Nothobranchius furzeri: one gene and its partners. Each later gene encodes a partner of the first gene's protein in a complex. Links are inferred from orthologs where the notes say so. Each region holds a gene or a part of one and is shown on either strand. Other genes may lie near its edges.

Region 1 (4,788 bases):
TACAACTTGAAATATTTGCAATTATACGAGAAAATTCACTTCCATTTGTGCATGTTGGACAAATAGACTTGAGTCAAAGGTAGACTACTCTGTTGATGGAGAACACACACTTCCGGCTCTGGATCAGGCCACAGCTGAATGGGGCACCAGAACGTTCTGAAATGTTTCGAATGAACAGACTTCATCCCTTTGTTCAGTTTTGTGGTTAATCCACCTTTAAGCATCAGTTACTTTATTGTAGATTATGGCTTTTCGGTCCGACTAAAGAAGGAAAGCTTTTCTGAAATTTGACTTTTAGGACTAATTCAACAAAACACTGAAACATCTACAGATGAATATGGTACATAAAAGTGAACAATATGCATATGCGACATAAATCAGGACAATAATGGTCATGAGGATTATTCTGGGATTCTTGTGCGTATAAAAGCTGTAACAAGGAATGTTCCGTTCAGAGATAATCTCGATCCGACTGATGTTTCAGGTCTCTGAGACTGAAGCCTGAGAGCTCCTCACATAAATAAATACATCATCAGTTTCTCTTTGCATGTAACCATGGAGACCAACTCCAGTGGGACTAGTGTAGTTTGAGGACTTGGCCTGTTCTCTGCTGCAGGTCTGTGCTGACGTCAGTGACACTTCCTGGGAGTTGCTGCTCACATTATTATCCTAGTTGTAAATCTTTGCAGTCATCCCACCTCTCAGCAAAAGCCTCACATCTTTAGATACAACCCCCCTCCCCTTTATCATCTGTGGCTCCATTCAGTGAGGTTTGGGGACATGGCCGTCCACGTAGAAGTTCCTGGTGACTTTTGGCAGGGTGAGCTCTATCCCATCGAGGTCTGGAGTGAGAACGATCTGACATGCGAGTCGGGAGTTCTCCTGCAGCATGGGCGCCATGTCGAGCATGTCGTCCTCTCTGGGAACGGAGACACCAGTCATTGTTTCCTGTGTAGTCACCGTCACAAAGCCTCAGTTTGCCCCTACCTTTCTTCTGGTTCTGGCAGTTTGTCGAAATGAGCTGCGCTCACGTAGACGTGGCACGTTGAGCAGGCCAGCGACGCCTCACAGGCTCCTAAAACAAAAAAAAACATGTAAAATATCAGCAAATATCTGAGCAGCTGGTTTAATCCAGATTTTAAACCCTTACCTTCTAGTTCAATTCCATGTTTGTGGGCCAGAAACAAGACGTTATCTCCCGTTTTGCCTTTAACGGGGATCCTCTTGCCAGACCGGTCTATGAACACCACATTAACTCTAAGAGGGAGGGAAGAAAAGTCCTTTTTATCGAAAATTAAATATGTTAAAAATATAAAATACAGTGATCCCTCGCTACTTCGCGGTTCGTCTATCGCGGATTCACGACTTCGCGGATTTTTTCTTTGGAGCCTTATTCAAGGGAAATTCGCCGATTCGCGGTATTTTTCTATGCGAAATATCAAGAAATTCCTGTTTTTTTCATCAATTTCATCATAAAATGCACTTTTTGTAATAAAACTATAAAAAAAGCAAGTAAATAATTTTTTTTCTTGAGTTTTACCCACAAAAAGAGAACGTGATCATACGATAATTCAATATAGTACTGTACTGTAAATATGGTGTCCCTACTTCGCGGATTTTCACCTATCGCGGCCAGATCTGGAACGCATCTACCGCGATAAACGAGGGATCACTGTACCATTAATACTACAGTGGCACACAAATGAGAGGCTTTGGTTAGGGCGAAAGGAGGATTACACGGACTTTGTACAAATATTAAGTGGAATTGTATCCCACACAGCCAGACAAGCTCCAACTCTCCAGATGTTGGTAGGTGGCTGAAAACTCATTTCTACTAATTAGCTTTTGATTCTTATATGTAACGAAATCTCTTTGACACTTGTGGGATTCATCTATAGCTCACTGTAGATTCTAAAATTACTTTAATTGTTGTGTACAACACTTAGGCCAACTGTGATGGTTCGGAGAAAGTGCTTTATGGATAAAGATGATGAACTCTTTACTCGTGGAAATAGGAAATTTCCTCTTATTTGAAAAAATGCAAATAAAAATGATCAAATCAATTCTTTAAAATGTGAGATTAAAACTTTGATTATAAGCTGAATGCTTTGATTATAACCGTATTAAACAAGTCATTATAATTAACTTAATGTCATTTCCTTTTATAAATGTAGACTGCAGACCGGCCAATGAACTATTTTAACTATTAGCATCTGATATTTTCATTTTTATGTCCACAAACTAAAGCTGTTAATGTTAACGATCCACTAAGTTTTTCTCTTGCAATCATACAAATGTTTCTAGAAAAACAGCGGAAATACGTTTATTTTGTAGGTTCAACTTTACGGTGCACGTGCACATATTGACTTCCTGTTAGCTGCGCCTGGTCTAGAGCAGCAGCTCTGGCTACATTTCACAATAAAAGCTCTGGCAGACTCACACATCATCTGGGTCTTCTGAGTTGGAGCTACCCTCCTGGGCCTGGGAAAGACCTTTAGAAAAAGAAAATCAATGTTTTCGTTTAATAGCATCAAACCCACCAGAGGAAAAGAATAAACGAGTTGCAGAAGTTTAGAATGTTTAAAGTTACACGTGTTAAGAGTTTTCATAGTGACGTTTCTTAGGCAAATAAAACATTTCAGGCAGGGTTAACACCTAAAACGCATTCAAAGAAATGAGGTGATTCGCGACTACGTAATGATTGTGTCGTAAGAACACTTCGAAAGGACGAATGAACCTCTAATGCTAACTGTTAGCAAACAAAATCACTTACATTTACTCGTCTGCAGATGCCGATTCATCGTCCGAAAGCTATTAAATGAGCTTCTTCTTTGGGGGTTAGCTCTGTTGCTGGTACAGCTCTTTAGTCTGTACAGGGGGCATTTGCTACAGTCCGGAATTACTCGATGAAACCTCAAAGTTAAACCAATGCTCGTCCGGGCAGCTGCAGACGCCGCCATGACTCTGTTTTGATCACATGATTGAAAGTAGCCAATAGAAAAAAAGCTGTGGCAGAACGAGGCTTCAGTTGTTGTGTACTTTCTCTGACAGCAGAGGGCGCCAGTGAAAAACAATCCAAGACGTCTACCTTTTGGATCCGGTCAGGGGTCAGGTGGGGACATTAAATTTCAGGTCATAAGAATGTGTTCCCTCATTTGTTTTTATGGAAATGTGATAAAATTGAAAAATGACCGGTGAAACGCATGTAAACATAATTTATGTCACACTTCATATTATATTTGGAACAATGGGAATATTTTTACTTAATTGGGCAGAAAATAATTAAATAAGACATGATGCTTCACAGCAGCACTTTTACTGAGAAAGTAAAAGAAATGTTCTTGTGTTTTTGTTGAATTTTCGACATGAGAAACAAAACTTATGCTGGACAAATTTCGCCCTTTTTGAGAATGTAGTAGTGTTACACGAGACCTCCTTTTAAAAACCCGTTATGTATTTTTATCTGTGGGTGATTTTTTCAACGAATAACTACTTTGGATCTAAACAACCTAAAAGCGGCGTATATCGGTGCTGTCTGATGAGTTAAGGCAATTTAAAAAAAAATAAAAGTAAATTAAAAAAAACAACCGTTAACTTTAGTTCATCGATATTTGCCTAAATCATATTACTTTAAGTCTTTACATTTCTATATTAACAACATCATGACAAAAGTGATTTTGAAAGAGTCAAATGTGATTTTAAACTCAGTTTAGTTTGGTCTGTTCAAAGAAACATTTGTACGAATGTCTTCATTTACACCATTAAAACTCGCCTGCCTAAAGAGACAAACCTGTTCAGGTGCTTCTAATTGTCTGATCATGACCAACAACCTGACCTTTAACCTGTTAACCTTTCACCAATCCTTTGAAAAGTATCTTAATTCCTGTGAGATATCTGATTAGACAGATGCAAGGGTGTTTATGGTTCCACCTGCATGCAAAGAGGGTGAGAAGTATCACTAAATACTGTAAAGCAGCTGATATGCTTGTATTTAAAACACATGGACATAAACTAGCTAAACATGCAGTACAAAAATAAGTACAGGTGTACATATTTCATGTTGCATTTGAACAGAGACGCATCATGGTGGTGGTCGGTGGGCGGTAGCCTCGCCTCTGTGTCCTGAAGCAGCTGTGGCTACAGTTTTCACCATCGGTGTGTGAGTGATTGGATTGCAAAGCACTTTGGAGTTTTTGACTTAGAAAAGCGTTTTTCAAATCTGCAATATTATTTTTAATACATTAATTGTCCACCATATCCCAAATAAAACTTGTTTTCTTTACAAAACTCATTAAAACTTTCACTCTTTGCTTTACTGAACTTGTTTCTTACGCTGAAACGCGACTCCTGATGTGTTTTCAGTCTCAAACATCCGGTGCAAACAGTGAAAGCTGGAGGGCAGCTCCTTGTTTTCAGCTCCGGAGGCTCTCCTGTCGCCCCCGGCTGAAAGACTTCCACCCACCGTGAAGATCACAAACTCTGGGATCAACAGATGGGCTCACTTCCCTTTTCCTGTCTCCAATAGGTGTCGAGGTCCCGTCACCAAGGAGGAGTCCACCTAAAGAGCCCCCCTGTTCTCAGTATCCACTGTTTCGACGCATGAAGGCATGGCCCCACACTGGGTGGAACATCTCGGTGAAGCTGAGGGGCCCCACCGTGATCTCACTGGGGCCCCTCACCTTGAAACCAGACTTCTGGTAGAAGGGAACCAGGAAGTCCTCACACATGAGGACGGCTCGGCGCACGTAGGGCAGACAGTGAAGGTACTGCAGGTATCGCCACATCAGG
Region 2 (5,137 bases), on another chromosome or scaffold:
GGAAATGGTTCGATGCCAATCTGCTTCACAAAAAACTTCCTGTGTGAGGCCTCCCTCTGTCAAAGAGAGGGACAAATAACTCTTAAAAGAGACACTGATACAATTAGAGACAGGGCCAGGAATGCCCGTGTGACATACCTGCCTCCGAGCTACAGAAGAGATTATTCATAAACATCTTTTTTGTCTGCGATGTACTGTACAATCTCCTCTGGAGTCATCAGCTTCTCTGCCTCTGCGTCTGGGATCTCAAATCCTGCAGCAGGAACCAAAAACATTCACGTCCCAGAAGGAAAAAAAAGAGCTGAAGCTACACGAGTTTGAGTTCATCCCGAATAGGAATAAACGTGAAGGCAGAGGTCTGTGTGTTGCTCTCACCAAACTCATCTTCCATGGCCATTATGATCTCCACCTGGTCCAAGCTGTCTAAGCCCAAATCCTTCATGAAGTGGGAGGATGTCTGCAGCTGTGGGGCAAATACAACTAATCAGATTTAGTTTCATTAGCCCTGGGAATCAGTTTTCTTTTGAAGTTGGCAGAAAAACCTTGTCTGGGTGAATGTTTACACTAAAACTAGTGTAAATGTGAAAATATATACAAAATTAGAGTTTGGGAGAACTAAATCTTTCACATTTCACTGATTATTTTGGAAGAGATGGTTATATGCAGATCTGTGGGTATTCCAGAAAGGAGGATCAAAACAGTCTGGGTTTTTTAAAGCGAGGAAGTACTTGATAAATAACATTTTAAATGAGAAGTAATATATATATAAAATAAAAATCTTTAGGAACAGAGACTATTATGTATTGAGGTCATGAGAAGGGTAATTCTATAAGTTAAATGGTAAATGGTCTGTATTTGATATAGCGCCTTCTAGAGTCCTGGAACCCCCCAAGGCACTTTACAACACAACCAGTCATTCACCCATTCACACACACATTCACACACTGGTGGTGATGAGCTACGATGTAGCCACAGCTGCCCTGGGGCACACTGACAGAGGCTAGGCTGCCGAGCACTGGTGCCACCGGTCCCTCCGACCACCACCAGCAGGCAACGTGGATTAAGTGTCTTGCCCAAGGACACAACGACAGCGACAGACTGAGCGGGGCTCGAACCTGCAACCTTCTGATTACGGGCGAGCTTTTAACTCCTGTGCCAACTTAAACAATTTAAGTAAAATTGTTTCTAAAATAATGGACAGGATAGGTACTGTGTCTGTTACCATGGTGATAGACCCAGAAATCAACTTGCATCTCTTTCTGAAACAGAAGGCTGCGTTTCCCTAAACTTCGGACACACACACACACACACACACACACACACACACAACCTGCTTTCTGTAACACTTCTTACTCTTACCGTTTCTGGGTTGATTTTATCGTACAGCTTCAGTACATACATGACGCGGTCTTTGATGGTTTCTAGAGTGAGAGGGGGGAGGTCGCTATACTGTCGGCACAGCACACCCACCGAGAGGATCTAAATGAGGCATAAAGGGAAAGACAAAAAGGGAGAATGCGAAGCAAAAGAAAGCAAAATGGTCATGATCACTCAAACTGCACACCTAAATGTTTGTTATGCTGTAAAATGGAAATATGTTTTAAAAAAACTAAAAGTAAAGAGCAGATAATCCAGGGCAGGAAAATTGCGAACCACTTAAAGCAACACTAATTTTTCAACACTAGCTATTGCTTTTAAACTGGTTTCAGTGATTCTTCAGCAGCTTTCAATATAACAGCACTCTGTTGCCCTCTGCTGGTCAGAAACTTGAGGTTCAGGTAAGAGCACTAGTGAGAGGTCTACCTGCTTTACAGCTGTTACTATGCCAGTAGCCAATATAAAGGCTGACAGTTAGCTTTTTCTGTTCGCATAATACGAATAATTTTGCTTTTTTTGTTGCTGGCATTAAGGCAGAGCTTGGAAATAAAGGTAAGAGTGTTTGGAGGCGAAACCAAGAGCTAAAACCAGAGCGAACATCGATGCAGACTACACTCGTCTGAGTGCTACTGGACGTAAAAGTATCTTTAGTCCAAACGTGTGGATCTTTCTACTTTGTGCCTTCTTTACTATCAGTTGGCTTCAGTTGGCTCATGTTAGCTTGTTGTTAGCACTAGCTAAAGCAGGGTTGTTTACAACAGTTGTAACTCCTCTTTCAACCAGTAGAGGGAGAAGCGGGAAACTTTAACAGTTGCTTCAGTGGCATGATATTTATTGAATAAATGTCCAACAGTTGTCTAATATTTCTTGTGAATGTTAATATACAAAATACAGAATCATGTGACATCCTTAAAGTAGTCTTTATAATGTCCGCCTGTTTTATTTGAATCATTAATTAATTACTTGTTTCACTTACAGACCTGACTGTATGAATGTTTACAAGGGTTTCTTCCTCAAGTAGTAAGCATACTTTAAAAATACAAAAATCAGCTTGTGAAGAGGACAGATCCTATTCTCGTGTATGTTTAATTCACATATAGATGTTTTCAAACGTGATTTTATTTTAGTTCTGCGCATTAGCCGTTTTGGCTAAGGGGCTGAGCGTCCAGAGACAACGTGGCATTAGTTGGTAAGTAAATATATATTTTTTTATTTTAAATAAACGTAAAACCTGAGGACAGCTAGTTTAAGTTGCTCCAGAAAGCTGAAAAGTCAAGAAAAACAGCACAATGAACTTTGCTAACCAGCTAGCCTTTCCTGCTAACTAACTAGCTAAACAGTCAAACCTTGAGGTAGTGTCAGACAAATTAGGCGTCGCAATGTGTCGTAAAGTCGTGGCTAACTGTCTCATTACTATTATTTACACTAGTCCAGGTGGCTAGTCAGACGGCTCCGAGAACCTACAGCTGGGCCGGTTAGACTGTTGAAAGACATCAGTAGGTCACGGCCACCAGGCCAGGACTCTGCCAATGTTAGCGGGACTCACCGGGCTCCGAACGAACCACCGCGTTCTCTGGCGGTCGGCGGCCAAGGAGAGAGGTCGGTGGGTACTGACTGCCGGTATGACAGCGGCTCTGACTGCGAGGTTACCGGAGCAAAGCCTCAGCGAGGGCCGGGCACACGAGCGGACACACTGCAGCAGGACACGGGCTGCCATGTTGGAGTAGAAGCTGGAGGATCAGCGGCGTATAAGAACCGGAAAAATCGATGACAGTGGCGTCTCAGTGCGCATGTGTAGAACGTAAGTTTCCTTTAAAACATTTTACAGATTGTTGGTTCTTTTAAACTTCTAATTAACTAAAACACGCTTTCAGTTGCCCCCATACAGGATTGTCAGAAAGAAAAGCTATAAAAGCCCCGACAGCAAGGACTCGAATTAAGCAAGATCAATCGATCCCAGAAAGACTCGATGGAAGTCAACATTTGTAATACTCAACATTATAGCCTAACTAAATAATAATATTCAAACAAATGCACATTGACTGTTTTGTTTAGTTGACCAACTGTCAAAGACTGTCAGAGTTTATCTGATTCTTGGCAGTATGTCTCCCCAACATGGGACAATTACATATATTGATCAGGGTCTAATATCATTATTGGTTCATCTCAACTTCTCTATACTGAAAATGATTTTGATTTAAACCTTCTGTTTTAGACAACTGGCGAGTTTACTAGTTTATGACTGAGGACTATTAGTTTGGGAAGCCCTCTGAAATAAATGGTAAGCTGTTTTGCCCGTTTTATTTGCTATATTTACAGTCAATTACGTATCTTGCTTCTTTGGGGAAATAATCCAACCACAGCTCTACACTGGATAGTGACAAAGACTACTTAAGAATAGTTTTATTGAAATGTGGTTGTTTCTTAGTTTTGGTCCTTCCTTTACTTCTCTCACTGATGGTGTCCTAAGGTTCTGTGCAGGGAGCTCAATTGTTCTTCCTTTATCTGCTCCCTTCAACACAACCTGAGCTAAGAAAATCTCCTACCATCTTTACACGGATGACATTCAACTGTACATCTCCTTTAAAGATGTGTTCACTCGTTTAATCAACACATTTGCAGTGGTCTCTAGGAATTAATGCCTTGTAAATCTTATTCTGGGGGGGGGGGGGGGGGGAAGGCTCTGGCGCACCTGTTTCAGGAACTACAAGTGATCCACATCAGAGTTGCGCTTCAGATGGCAGGATTTGGAGTCTTATTTCCTGATATGTGGACATTTTGGCTTGGATTAGCTAATAGCAACGTGACTGTACAACTGACTCTGCTTGTTCAGCAACATTAATATTGTATTATATTCACAAATAACACAAGCCTGAATGAGTTCTGACATGTTGTGGAGTTGCTAATGCTAACGGTTAGCTTCTATTAGCCGAGACGTTTGCTGCTGTTTCGTGGACACTAAACCAACGGCACTCTTCCTTGTCATGAGTCAAGATGGGCGAGATGGGTGTGACATAGATCTGTCTGGCTTTTCAAATCCTAGAGGTTCTCTGTCAATTTTCAATCAGATCAAATCAGAGTAACCAGTTATAATCAGAAATAATAACTAAAAAATAGTTTTTCAGTGAACCACAGCTCCGATGAGATATCTAAGCTGCAGCGTTGCACACTTGAGAACTTTCAACAGCTGAATGCTTTCAATCAGGAGCAAGAACACAAAATTATTGTTAGTTTAAAATAAATTGAAAGCATACACAAAATGCACTGATAAAAAGAAAAGACTCCTTATAATTGTGGATGCAAATCACATGTATTTGTTCAAAGAGCAAGTCACCCCCCCCACCAGAGTATTACTCTGCTCCCACTTCCTATTTGAAAAATGCAACAAATGCTGTTGCCTAGCAAACTGAGAGGGCGGAGCCGCTAACAAATACACACACACACACATAGGCTCACAATGGCATTGTGACATCATATGGTACCAGCTAACATTCTAGGGTACCTCTTAGCCAATAGCAATGGCAGATTTAAATAAAACTGCAGTGCGGAGTTTTTACCTGACAATGGCACAACACTGACAGTTTTAGGCAGAAATTTTAAATTTTAACTAAAATGCACTAAAGTGCAAAACTATTGACTACACGTGTCCGCAGCACGGTTAGACACACATTTATATAGTTTATCAGAAAAAAAAATGTTGATTTGGCGGTTACTTGCTCTTTAAACAGAAAGTCTGGACCTTATTTATTTATTTTTAACT
Region 3 (4,853 bases), on another chromosome or scaffold:
TGTTATTAAGGTTTAAACAACGAAGAAAGTGTTGCCATGGTTACTTATGTCTTTGATGGGTTGCTTGACTCCAATCTCGTTGTTGACCGTCATCACCGACACCAAAGAGGTGTCAGGGCGGATGGAGGCTTCTAGAAGCTGGAAAACAGACACAGTGACATCTACAATGTTACACATCAATGCGCAGTCGTACGCAGTTCTGTACCTCCAGGTCCAGCAGTCCGTTCGTCTGGACTGGCAGGTAGGTAACGCTGAATCCTTCGGCCTCCAGGACTCGGCATGAGTCCAGGACACATTTATGCTCCGTCTGTGTGGTGATCACGTGGTGCTTCTTGGACTTGTAGAATCTAGCCACGCCCTTGAGGAGGAAGCAACAGAAAGTTACATCTGATGTCTGTAAAACGTCCTCACAGGCTTTTACAGTATTTTCCACTCCTAATCCTACTTTTGTTCTGTAAATAACTCATAATAGCTCTTTTTTTGTTCATGAAAAACCGAAGTGTGCAGCCGTTTGGCTGAAACTGTAACAGAGGAAACACTGGGGAACGGTTCCTTAACTCATTCACTGCCAGCCGTTTCCTGATCACTAACGGCCTTCGCTGACAGCGTTTCTCACCGTTTCTCACCGTTTTTACAGTTTTTTTAAGAGTCACAGAACGTTGCGCGCTAGCATGATGTCGATGCCAAAACAACCAAAACAAAGAGGAGACTCACCTCTTACATCAGGAAGAAGCCGTATGTTTCGAGCGTTATCCGTTCTTTCATAATCCATTGTCGAATTGTGATCGGGAGACGCTTTTCTGGTTTGCGCCTCACTTTTTTTTACAGGAATGGCCCAAAACGATCTCCAAACACATGGATGTGTTGCTTCCTGATCATGTGATGTGTGACATATGCGGATGAAGATCGGCTTCAGGCCTGAGATGTTTGTTCTCTCAGCGCGGGGGCTCCTTCCGATGCTCAAACAGTAAAAAAAATTGCAAATGACGACTTTAGTCGTCATTGGCAGTGAACGGTTGGATCTAAAATGATGACTTTAGTTGTCAATGGCAGTGAATGAGTTAAGGACCCTGAGCTTCTAAAAGCCACATAAACTACTTTCAATACAATGAAAATTTCTGTTGTTACCCAAAACAAAATGAGATGACGCTGGCAGCAGGGGGTGTGTGTAGCTAGATAATGAAGAAAAGTTAAAAAACACACCTTAATGGCTATGTTGTTGGACTCTGTGGCTCCACTGGTGAAGATGATTTCTCTGGGATCAGCTCCGATCAGATCAGCAACCTGCTGCTCAGAGGAACAGGGATAACATTTAACTGCTGAAAGAAAACAAAGATCCCAAATGCTCACAATGTGCATTTGGGATCTTTCTAATTGTTACAAGAATGCTGAAATAACTTCTGCTCCATTCCTAAATACTAATAATGTGACAACTTCTCCTGCAGTGTCTCTACCTTCCTGGCGTTCTCCATGGCAGTCTCGCTCTCCCAGCCATAGGCGTGTGTTCTGGAGTGAGGGTTACCATAGTAATTCACCTGGTATGGCAACATGGCATCAAGCACCCGGGGGTCCTGAACACACAGGAATAAAGAAACAGGAATGCAAAGAAAGAACAAATCATTCTCTCGGGTATTGAGTCAGATGTTCATTCATTTATTGAATTACAAAACAAGTTACTTATTGTGATAAAAAGGGTGTGTACACATAAAAATGAGCTTCAAACATGCTGATCAAATCAAATACAAATTGGTTATATGAAGGTAAAGTCACACAAATAACCATCATTTTAGCCCAAAATTAAATAGTTGTCACATGATAAGTAACATTATCTTTTATGACGCACAGCAGAACACACGAGTTACAGTTACCATGGGAGTGGTGGCCTGGAAGTCCATGTAAAGAGGCCGGAGCTCATCTTTCTCCAGCTCGTGTTTCTTGATCAACTCTGCAGCAAAAAACACAAATGTACACATTATTCTTTCAAGATTATTCTGTACGTATTTGCCGTACACCTACAATTGTTCAACAATTGCCGCAAGTAGGGTATCAAGGTGCTTTGTTTAGTTGGATGAGCCTAACTTCACAGGAATGGTTTCCATAGTAGCCAAGTAGGCAGAGTCAAACAACATTTCTGCAAGAAATGTCTAGATTAATAATAATCTATCCAGATTAATTATGTTTTCCAAATTGTAGTGTATGTTTTCTAAAAAGGAAACTATAAACTCTGGACTTTGATACTTCTCAGCTCATCTGAAATGTTTTCTGTTCCTGTGCTGGACAGCGGAGCGTTATCTGAAGTTAACTAGTCTATTGTTTCTGTAACAGCTTTGCCCATTGTGCTTTTTGTCTTTCATTTGGCTGAATATGATTACAATCAATCTAGCAATAATATCAGTTATTAATAATCAAAACTATTAGTTATTATTTTATATTACTTCAGTTTTAAAGTCATTAAATACTTTATTGATGAGGATGCACTGTCCCAGCTCTAACCCAACACACGCTCCACGTTACTTGATTTGACCTGGACTTAACACACAGTAGGTGTTGTGAAGTTTCTCGTCACCCCAGCAAAGTGCGTCACTTTGGGATTAGCTTAATGCTAGATACTCATAGGAAAACGAAGAGGCCAGTGTGTTCCGTTATGCTGTTACCTTTCTGCTTGGAGCTGGCGACGGACCGCTCACAGCCCAGCCGAAAAGGAAACCAAGAGGCGGGCCTCAGAAGCCTGGAGGACACGGTCCTTCCCGGGGAAAGCATCTCGGCAGGCTGGGTTCGGCGAAGACCTGCTGACCTCCGTCAACACCAACACGTTGGCTGCGACCAAATCAACAAAGCAGTTCAGCCACCTAACCCCAGCGTTAAAAAAAGAGAACACTATTTAGAATTAGTGCTCTAAACGCGAAAATATGTGGTTTCAAACTTACTGTCTGTCACTTTAGACCCAGGTTGCAATTAAATGGATCATCGCAAGTTAAGTTACAAAACAAAGCTAACTTCCGGTAGTGAATTTCAAAATAATTTTAAAACGGTGCTAACTATTTATTGATGGAAAACGTTTAAGCAACTTTATAATTTTACGTTATTTTGATTTGCGTACAGTTCACAATAGCAATTTCACAGATGAACTTTAACCTCGTCTTTTAATCTTTTTTGGATGGTAACTACAGACTTGTCACAAAATTCAACAGGAAACAAGGACGGGACTTTCTGCGGTTTCCCTGCTCTCCCATAGGCCAAACTGGATTTTTTGTTGTGGATTTAAAGCGGGGCTATTGGCAATTTTAGTTTTTTGATTGGCTACAGTCCAAGTTTTATGACCTTTTTGCCATTTTATATGAATGTAATGAACACTGTTTCTTATGTGCATGGGTTTATTAAATACACCCATTAGGTTTCACAAACCACCAACTATATTTCAAGGACTCTGCTATTAATATAGAACAATCTAGTCCAGATTTGAAGAATCTAAGTGTTGTACTTGTTAAGCTACACATGTTCCAATGTAATTCAGATGCAATCTTTGTGCTGAAAACGCACTTTTTAAACATTAAAAAAAATCATTAGTTTTAAGCATCATCGACATAAATATAAGCCTAAGGATTTAAGCCTAATGTTGTCATTTCAGAAAAATCAAGTCCAGGTATGAAGAGTGTTGTAGTTTCATATTTAGTGAAGATTAAATATGCTCAGGGAGTGGAAGAATATATACAGTATCTGTGGTTTTCACTGTAAACAATTTCACCGCATTTTATTCTTCTGCTTCCGGGGGATTGATTGTTTCGCTTATTATATTCCCCGGATCCACGTTCCGGGCTTCTGTAGTTCCACAACACTCGTGTTAGCGCAGCATTGCTAACGCTTTTCCTCAAACTTCGTCGTCATGAGTGCTGATAATATCAACGGGAGTTTGTCCGTACCTTTACGAAATGCTTTGAACTCCATTCAGTGTATCAGAGACCGAGTCAGAGGTAAATTTAAGACACATTTCTTACCTCATTAAAAAAACTCAGTATGCCAGTGTTAGTGCCAAGCTAGCAACAGTCTTTGTTGTTTAATGTGTATAGTTGGCTGCATTTAAAACAACTTAAAACGGAAAACGGTGCAGTCGCCTTTTAAACAGCCCACTAAAGACAAATAAAATGAGAAAGTAACTTTTCAAATGCCAAGCAGGGATACATTGTCACGCGTCATCTAGCCATCCACCGTTATCTTATTGAGCCAGACAGGTTTCGTTGCTACGTAAAAGCCCCTCAAATTCTGCGAAAACCAAACATATAATAAACCTGTAGCTTAAAAAAGCAAGTTGGCCAGCTGAATGATCCTTATGAGAAATTGATGTAGTGGATTCTGTAACGTGTCATTCCCAGTGACTGTAGTAAGAGACCTCATTCCTCAGAAATGTATTGGCAGTAAACCAAACTGAAGGTTATCCTGTATATAATTTCATATATTTCCATTTAAGTGTTTTGTTGTTGTTGTTGTTGTTTGGGCTAGGGTTATACAACGTAAATAAATAACCTTTTTACTTTTACCTCAATGAAACATTTGGTCTGACCTAAAGCAGCTTCCAGATAGAAGCAACATAATCACAAAACACATGTTTAAAAGTGTAATTACAACCTTTGATTTTCTCTGCAGATGGAGAGTCAAATGAATCAGATGGAGATTTCAACCTTTCTAACTTCTGGGACACTTTGAGTTGAGTATATGAGAATTCTCCTCCTGCCACACGTTCAACTCCTTGACTCTTTTTCTTAGGTCCGGGGTGTCAAACTCAAATTCACACTGGGCCAAAATGAAAATCTGGGACGAAGTTGCAAGCCAAACTTAATATTTTTTGAAAAAGTGAT

The links.
Region 2: fdx2 (region 1) and ndufab1b share a complex: the UniProt entries of both Homo sapiens proteins name them as parts of the mitochondrial core iron-sulfur cluster (ISC) complex. The link is inferred for Nothobranchius furzeri from reciprocal best matches to the Homo sapiens genes FDX2 and NDUFAB1.
Region 3: the proteins of fdx2 (region 1) and nfs1 are in contact, whole or in part, in a cryo-EM structure (PDB 8RMC), measured with the Homo sapiens proteins. The link is inferred for Nothobranchius furzeri from reciprocal best matches to the Homo sapiens genes FDX2 and NFS1. Residues at the interface, in NP_001384335.1 of Homo sapiens: Ala104, Cys105, Glu106, Ala110, Cys111, Pro141, Leu142, Ile169, Thr170, Arg171, Asn172, Phe173, Tyr174, Val175, Asp176, His178, Lys181; in NP_066923.3 of Homo sapiens: Gln153, Lys157, Leu160, Asp161, Arg164, Ala168, Tyr175, Ala384, Ser385, Leu386, Glu387, Pro388, Tyr390, Arg393, Gln456, His457.

Annotation. Positions count from the first base shown.
Region 1 is NC_091747.1:74,438,137-74,442,924, reverse strand, and holds the start of fdx2 (ferredoxin-2, mitochondrial), read right to left. Parts: upstream 2,984-4,788; 5' UTR 2,961-2,983; coding exon 2,774-2,960; intron 2,493-2,773; coding exon 2,441-2,492; intron 1,258-2,440; coding exon 1,151-1,257; intron 1,076-1,150; coding exon 988-1,075; intron 920-987; coding exon 763-919; 3' UTR 1-762. Other genes in the region: serotonin N-acetyltransferase-like, read right to left, coding at 4,578-4,788. UniProt on the Homo sapiens protein: Electron donor, of the core iron-sulfur cluster (ISC) assembly complex, that acts to reduce the persulfide into sulfide during [2Fe-2S] clusters assembly on the scaffolding protein ISCU.
Region 2 is NC_091752.1:63,552,731-63,557,867, forward strand, and holds the start of ndufab1b (NADH:ubiquinone oxidoreductase subunit AB1b), read right to left. Parts: upstream 3,143-5,137; 5' UTR 3,095-3,142; coding exon 2,924-3,094; intron 2,892-2,923; exon of another isoform or gene 2,807-2,891; intron 2,567-2,806; exon of another isoform or gene 2,505-2,566; intron 2,398-2,504; exon of another isoform or gene 2,351-2,397; intron 1,480-2,350; coding exon 1,360-1,479; intron 464-1,359; coding exon 376-463; intron 254-375; coding exon 162-253; 3' UTR 139-161; intron 57-138; 3' UTR 1-56. UniProt on the Homo sapiens protein: Carrier of the growing fatty acid chain in fatty acid biosynthesis.
Region 3 is NC_091743.1:73,306,091-73,310,943, reverse strand, and holds the start of nfs1 (cysteine desulfurase), read right to left. Parts: upstream 3,474-4,853; 5' UTR 2,928-3,473; intron 2,850-2,927; 5' UTR 2,761-2,849; coding exon 2,655-2,760; intron 1,946-2,654; coding exon 1,869-1,945; intron 1,572-1,868; coding exon 1,455-1,571; intron 1,288-1,454; coding exon 1,204-1,287; intron 359-1,203; coding exon 206-358; intron 139-205; coding exon 45-138; intron 1-44. Other genes in the region: ccndbp1 (cyclin-D1-binding protein 1 homolog), read left to right, coding at 3,884-3,971, 4,642-4,701.